Linked DNA regions of Saccharomyces cerevisiae S288C. The gene in region 1 interacts genetically with each later gene. Each region holds a gene or a part of one and is shown on either strand. Other genes may lie near its edges.

Evidence for each region. Genes that interact genetically often act in the same process or in processes that back each other up.
Region 2: mutations in TFS1 (region 1) and YHR212W-A together harm fitness less than expected from each alone (positive genetic interaction), as found in Saccharomyces cerevisiae (one large-scale study listed by BioGRID).

Annotation. Positions count from the first base shown.
Region 1 is NC_001144.5:512,012-516,331, forward strand, and holds TFS1 (Tfs1p), read right to left. Parts: upstream 1,811-4,320; coding exon 1,151-1,810; downstream 1-1,150. Other genes in the region: YLR177W (uncharacterized protein), read left to right, coding at 1-929; YLR179C (uncharacterized protein), read right to left, coding at 2,097-2,702; methionine adenosyltransferase SAM1, read left to right, coding at 3,251-4,320. UniProt on the Saccharomyces cerevisiae protein: Specific and potent inhibitor of carboxypeptidase Y.
Region 2 is NC_001140.6:535,963-540,019, forward strand, and holds YHR212W-A (uncharacterized protein), read left to right. Parts: upstream 1-2,779; coding exon 2,780-2,983; downstream 2,984-4,057. Other genes in the region: YHR213W (uncharacterized protein), read left to right, coding at 3,189-3,785.

The DNA of each region.
Region 1 (4,320 bases):
ATTACAACCCACAGTCTGACGCATTCATCTCCACTGCTGTTTCAAACGCTTCGTCGACCGGGGCGGCCAAATCCAAGAACAGCACTTCAATGCATTTGCACTATAAGCCATTAGTGTTAGTATCGTTGAAAAATGGTAAGCTCGAACTGTTGTCTAAACCACAAACGGCCACACTTATACTGAAAAGGGGCGATTTGGTCATTATTGATGGTGATCGTGGTAAAGATTTAGTTTTGGTGGTGGAACCGGTTGTAGATATAAATTTGGCACTATTTATAAATTTTTTGAAGAAAAAAATTCACTTTGATTCTCTAATCACCAATAGTCAACAGCATTTCCCCAATGACCAGTTTATCAAGACTCTGGTTGATACAACCAATGGTAAGCCGGTCGCTCATGAGTTGAATCCGAAGTTATATGATATCATTGAACTAACGCAATTGATCATCCCATCAAAGCAGGTTCTGAGATTTGCCACCCCGTGGGAATCCTCCACGAATTTACACAACAAATTCCAGGATGAGCTAAAGGCTCTTCACATTGCACAGCTAAAACTGAGGTCGCTAAATAACAATAACTCCGGTGGCGGGTTGAACATCAAAATATTGAATGCAGAGTTCCAATTCGACAGAAAGAAATTGACTTTCTACTACATTTGCCAGGAGCGTAATGATTTCAGAGACCTGATCAAAGAACTCTTTAAGTTTTACAAAACAAGAATTTGGCTTTGTGCTATACCGAACAATTTATCGATAGATTCCAAATTTTATGATTCAAACAAGTTTGAGTGGGAGATGTATCAGGATATGATGTCCCACTATTCCATGGACAACACTGGAATTGTCGTGGCCCCTGAACTGAATCGCTTGAAACTGGACGACTTCCAGATCGGTGTTTATATGGAATTGGTGAAGGTTTTGTTCGGCTAACCCAAACTTATATAATCATTATAAACATTTTATAAACTTATACACTTTTTTAATAATCTCACCATGTTTTTCTTATGTGTTTTGTTTGACAATGACATTACTCCCTACAAACATGTGCGCGTTTGTGACAAAAACATAAATAAAACAAAAATAATAAAAAGTCAAGTGAAAAGCACTGAAATCTAAAAAATAAATACATATACATATATATATATATATACCTATTTCGTTTCCGCATAGAAGAAATTGGAGGCAACTAGTTGCAGGTTGTTTTCCTTAGCCCATTTGCCAACACCGGTGGCAGGGGTGCCGTAACCCCAGTTCGGTCTATCCTTAATTTTCGAGAACTTAGATGAGTCCACGCCCTTAGGCTGCTTATATAACAAGAAAACATATCTGTGGGGACCGGATCCCTTGGGTGGAGCTGGTCCCATATATTCTATTAGTGTGTTCGAGCCCTTCGTATTGAACTCTGATGCAAAAAATTCGGTTGCTCCGGAGGTCTCGTGAGTAGCCTCATTCAACAGCTTTAAGTCGCATTCTACCAAGTGGCAGAATTCAGACCACTTGTGATCTGTCTTAGAGGGAGCATCCGGATCGGTCATTACCAGTGTGAACAAATCGTCGTCTTGGGGAACGTACGCATTCGCCTGTGGTACGCTTTTTTGCATTTGCTTATTGAACGTGAACTGGAATTGGGGCTTGGAACGTGCCTTCTCAGTGGGCAGCGTGTTACCCATGGCAACAGGTGCACTTGATGAGTACTCTACGGCAAGTATCCCGGAGGGTTGAAAGCTTGTGTCATGAATTACATCCTCCAGAATGCCGTGCTTCTTGTAGGAGTCAATGCTTGCTTGTGCGAAGTCTATTGCTTGGTTCATGTTTTTTGCTTGTTCTCTTGTTCTTGTATTGATGCACTGGTAGGGAAAAGGAGCACTGCAATTCGTTTCTTGCTGCCCCCTTTTTATATACCAATTGAGATCTTTCCTTCCCTGAACAGCCCCTCTATCCCTTAAAAGATAGAAAAGTTCAAAGGGATAGGAAAAATCAACGAGCCAAAAAAAAAAAAAACGGAACCGTTCGGCATGTATATATTCACTATTTCATATACGCGTTTGCACAATATACTCTATCTTATCCGTATCTATACGAGCCGGTTGCTGCACCTTACATGTCATAGTTGAAATCAACGGTCGTGTTTTCGACCATGTAATAATTGGCACCGACCAGTTGCAGATTGTTCTCCTTGATATAGTCATAGGCACCCGCACCAGGAGTACCGTACCCCCAGGAGATAATGTTCTCAACCTTGGTAAAAGTGGACGAATCCGCTCCCTTGGGTTGCTTGCACAGGAAGAACACGTATCTGTGATAACCGGAGTTCTTTGGTGGACCAGGCCCAATATAGTTATTTCTCACGACACCCTTCCCCGAAATGGCAATATCTCCCCCAGGTCCGTACTCGACAGGAATATCAGTGATGATGTAGTGACAAACCTCCGACCACTTATGTTCTGTTCTAGAGGGCGCGTCCGGGTCAGTCATCAACAAAGCGAGTTTATCCTCGGCTGACAATTGGCTTTTATCGAAGGGCGTGAACTTGATGGTAGGAGCGGCTTGCGTAGCTTCCATTGGCATGGGATTGCCCAATTTGATGTCGTCAGAATCAACGTACGAAACCGACAACTCACCAAGAATCTCGAACGCCAAGTCCTTGACGGTGTCCTTAATGATGTCCTCTTTGTTCAGTTTAGCAACGATGGCACTAGACATAATATATATTTCTATTACTAAGTACTCGGATGGGTACCGAAAGTGGCAGATGGGCAGTGTTTACTCAAACAATTGATGGCAACATTCAATTCCTCACCTGGTGCGCACTTCCAATAATGAGCACGCTTGGCACTTTTATATTGTTCAAAAAAATGTCAGGCAAGATCTTTTGAAAAAAAGGTACCGAAACGGACGTAAGACGGAAATAGAATTTGAAGATAAAGTTATATATCACTACACACGAATACTTTCTTTTTTTTTTTTCACAGGAAAACTGTGGTGGCGCCCTTGCCTACTAGTGCATTTCTTTTTTCGGGTTCTTGTCTCGAGGAAATTTTAGCCTCATCGTAGTTTTTCACTCTGGTATCGATGAAAAAGGGAAGAGTAAAAAGTTTTCCGTTTAGTACTTAATGGGATTGGTTTGGGACGTATATATCGACTGGTGTTGTCTGTTATTCATCGTTGTTTTTCGGTTAGCTTCGAAAAAAAAATAGAGTAAAAACCAGGAATTTACCCTAAAAACAAGAAAAAATAAGATAAACGAAAATATGGCCGGTACATTTTTATTCACTTCTGAATCCGTTGGTGAAGGTCACCCAGATAAGATCTGTGACCAAGTTTCCGACGCCATCTTGGACGCTTGTTTAGCCGAGGACCCTCACTCCAAAGTTGCGTGTGAAACCGCGGCAAAGACTGGTATGATTATGGTCTTTGGTGAAATTACTACCAAGGCACAGTTGGATTACCAAAAAATCGTCAGAGACACCATCAAGAAGATTGGTTACGATGATTCCGCCAAGGGTTTCGACTATAAGACCTGTAACGTCCTTGTCGCCATTGAGCAACAATCTCCAGATATCGCCCAAGGTGTCCACGAGGAGAAGGATTTGGAAGACATCGGTGCCGGTGACCAAGGTATCATGTTTGGTTACGCCACAGATGAAACTCCAGAGGGTTTGCCTTTGACTATTCTTTTGGCTCATAAACTAAACATGGCCATGGCTGACGCGAGAAGAGATGGCTCTTTAGCGTGGTTGAGACCAGACACCAAGACTCAAGTCACCGTCGAATACAAGGATGACCACGGTAGATGGGTTCCACAAAGAATCGACACCGTCGTCGTCTCCGCTCAACATGCTGACGAAATCACGACCGAGGACTTAAGAGCGCAACTAAAGTCCGAGATCATTGAAAAAGTCATCCCAAGAGACATGTTGGACGAAAACACCAAATACTTTATCCAACCTTCCGGTAGATTCGTCATCGGTGGTCCTCAAGGTGACGCTGGTTTGACCGGTAGAAAGATCATCGTCGACGCTTACGGTGGTGCCTCATCCGTCGGTGGTGGTGCCTTCTCCGGTAAGGACTACTCTAAGGTTGATCGTTCTGCCGCTTATGCCGCTAGATGGGTTGCCAAGTCCCTAGTTGCCGCTGGTTTATGTAAGAGAGTTCAAGTTCAATTTTCTTATGCCATCGGTATTGCGGAACCATTGTCCTTGCACGTTGACACCTATGGTACTGCGACCAAGTCTGACGAAGAAATTATCGACATTATCAGCAAGAACTTTGACTTGAGACCTGGTGTATTGGTCAAGGAGTTGGACTTAGCTAGACCAAT
Region 2 (4,057 bases), on another chromosome or scaffold:
TTTATGAAAATCTGTGATTTTTTTGTTTTCATACACTTTTTATTTTTGTCACGTAGTGCACTTTGATTAATACAAAAAAAAATGCTGCAAAAGCATCGACTACATAAATTCATTAGGACGCATTCCTCATTACCACCTGGGTCTAATTTTTATTTTGAAATTGATATTATTCTTTATATGATGAGGTAAAAAGCATTATATTCGTTGTAAACTCATATACTTATCCTCATTTTAGGCACCATCAGGGACTAAGGGCTAAAGTATCAGAGCCGCATTTCAACAGTGTACAGAGATTTTAGAAACATTATCACGCACTGCCTTTTGCTTTGTTTACCCGTAATGAGTATACAGTGGATTTTCTGGTGCTAAAGCATATTGCCCTTTCGGCAATACTTGATGCCCTAAACATTTTCATCCTGGAACATACGAGTAAGAGCACATTTATGTGCCTATATTCCTCGTTTTTTACTGGTGCTGAATTTCTTATTTTCCACAGATAACAATCATGTTAATAAATTATGCACTGTGCTAATTTTTCAATTAAGGTTCTATTACCCCTCTATCACCGACAGAAACACGTAATGATGTGTTATTTCCATTATAATTCCGTAAGAATGGTGTTTATAGGTAGTCTAAAGAACGTGCATCAGAGAAGAATGACTGTCGCAAAAAATGACTATTCTTTACCTTTTCAAACTTAACTGAGATAGTTATCTCTATTATTACCAGTGGCACACACGCGAACTACATCACTCACCACTATCGTCTTAGGAACTCAAGATTTTATAGTAATGCAGCCGAAGACATTCAAGTCCTGAGAGAAAATGTAGACATTTTAAGAAAAGTACCGGAAATAAAGCACATGTAAAGCATTGAGCTCTGTACTCTATAAAAATTAGCTGCATTCAAACAACAATGTTTGAAATTTTTGCAAAAGTTATTGAAAAAGATTGCTGTTTTCAGCCTTGTTCAGATCATGTCTCAAAAATGAGAAACTGGAACTCTCATAATCAGTACCTCGTATTTTTTTTTCCTTATAGTTTCGTTATTAAAAATTTTTTTGCTGCTAATTTAAGTACGCTTTTGGTCATAAATGCTACCCACCAGTTGAATTATTGACATGATTAAAATACATTTCAGAACTTTACGGATTAAAAACTTTAAAGAACCTTTCAATCCATGTTGCTGGAGGGCCATGAATCCACGAATTACAGCAAAAGAAGACAGTAACTACTTAGGGTTCAATAATTACTTGCATAAACACACACTAACAACCAAATCGTACTAAAATTTGCAATTAACAAAACTCCATCATATCACGCTGAATTATGTAGGGCTTCTTAATGCAATAGGTTGCCTGAATTTTGCTTACTCGTGCTGCCGGGAACACTTAGCAGTTGGGAGGCCGTTTCTCCCATATATTTCATAATTTTCTGTCCTTCTTAGAGTAGGATGCTGAAAATCAAAAGAAGACCGTCAATAGGACCAGATTTTGTGGGTCAATTTTGGGCCAGACACATGATACCCTAGGAAGTTTAACGGTATACAACTCAAGGACGAGGAGTATTCGGAAACTACCGGTTTTTAACAAGCTGCAAATTTCCAGTAGCTGTTTTGGTTGCGACTACGGATAAAAATTCATACTTTAGGAAGTGAAGCAAGATAAAAAATCATGCTGCATCCTAATTCGTGAAGTTTGTTAGGAATATTATTGTAAACAAGGAACCGTTTCAGTAAACTTGCTCTCTACTCTTCTAAGCTGTAATTTAAAAAAAGCGATAAAACAATGATTTTGATTATCTGCAACTTCTGGAAACTCGAGATACTACGCTAGACGAGATACCTATTAATTGTTTTCCTAAAAAATCAGGAACAGTTCCTGGCAGCTTTCGGCTCCTTCTTGTTCTGGAAAGGATCTTCAAATCCGCTTCCACGTAGCAGTCCTCGCTACGACTTCTTCTGAAGTATTTTGATTTTTGGCTGCATTTACCTTTTATTGCCGAAAATCTTATTTTCCAAGAAAAAAGCTTATTTTGCATTAAGTTTAAAAAATTTCTTCTTTCCCGTAGATTGACTTGCAGCGTCAAAATTCCGGAGGCCTCACGAGATTTTTTGACATCGGTTTTTGACATCTCTTTTTCCTTCCTTTTTCTTTCTTTTCCTGCGCACGCCGATAAAGAAGTAGTACAACAGACAACGTCAAAATGATCCTCTTGTGATGAAGCAAAAGAGGAAGAGTATACTCCTTTTCCGCTTGTACAAATATTTTTTTTGATAATAAAATTTGGCACTTCAGAGCTTATCGTATCTTCTCCCGGAGTTCCTCAAGACTTATACTTCAGCCCGTTTAGGAATGCATAAAAGCAAATAGGATTCGTTACAACTGCTGCAGGACTCTTTAGGACTGCATCAAGGTAAGCCTCGCTGCACCTAAACGCAAAATGTGGTTGTAACCTTTTTAATTTTTTTCTTGAACTTGTTGAGTCGTAATAAATCGTTTCTGGGAAGTGGAAGGTAATAATGTAATGGAATCGGCGTTACTCGCATGTGCAGATATCAGCGACAAAAAGTGTTGTAGGGACGTTTCGATACCAAAATTTCCTAAATACAGCGCAGGAACATCACTACGCTAAACAAATCGTAGCGCATACATCTGATCGAAAAAAGACAGTTCCCAAAACAATGACATATGAAGAGACCAGCATCAAAATTTTCATCATTAACAGCATGGCTAAAAGTTATTGTTTAATATACCCATACCTGATTGACGAACCAAGAAATGCCTTATCACTATTTATTTTTGGCACTCTTCACCTACCTGGCCACGTCCAATGTTGTTTCAGGAAGTACACAAGCATGCCTGCCAGTGGGCCCGAGGAAAAATGGGATGAATGTCAACTTTTATAAATACTCATTACTGGATTCAACAACGTATTCCTACCCGCAATATATGACTTCTGGATATGCCTCGAATTGGAATTAGGTTCCGTTGGCGGACAGACGGATTTCTCAATTGACTACGATCTTTCTTGTGTTATCTCTTCAGGAACTTTTAAATGTGCTCAATCAGATGCTTATGGAAACTGGGGATGCAGAGGTCATAGTGAATGTTCAAAATAGCCAAGAAAGACCTATTGGAGTACTGATTTACTTGGTTTCTTACTATCCCAAAAAACGCTACTCTAGAAATGACAGGTTACTTTTTACCACCACAAACAAGTTCTTACACGTTCAGGTTTGCTAAGGTCGATGACTCTGCAATTCTATCAGTCGGTGGTAACGTTGCGTTCGAATGTTGTGCACAAGAACAACCTCCAATTACATCGACGGATTTTACAATCAATGGTATTAAGCCATGGCAAGGAAGTTTGCCTGATAACATCGGAGGGACTGTCTACATGTATGCAGGCTACTATTATCCGCTGAAGGTTGTTTACTCCAATGCCGTTTCCTGGGGCACGCTTCCAATTAGCGTGGAATTGCCTGATGGTACTACTGTTAGTGATGACTTTGAAGGGTACGTTTACTCTTTTGACGATGATTTAAGTCAGTCAAATTGTACTATCCCTGATCCTTCAAAACATACTACTAGCATCGTCACAACTACTACCGAACTGTGGACTGGTACTTTTACTTCTACATCTACTGAAATGACCACCGTCACCGGTACTAATGGTCAACCAACTGACGAAACCGTTATTGTTGCCAAAGCTCCAACCACTGCCACCTCATCCAGTTTGTCATCATCTTCTTCAGAACAAATCACCAGCTCTATCACGTCTTAGCATCCAATTATTACTCCATTCTATCGCAGCAATGGAACTTCTGTAGTTTCTTCCTCAGTCATGTCTTCCTCGGTCATTTCTTCTTCTGCAACGACCTCCACTTCTACATTCTCTGAATCATCTAAATCATCCGTCATTCAAACCAGTAGTTCCACCTCTGGTTCTTCTGAGAGCGAAACAATCTTAGTGATTGCTGGCATGTCATTAGCGACAAGACGCTTATTACCGTAGTAGCCCCCCAAGGCAAACATCTCTTTATCAGTAATATCCAA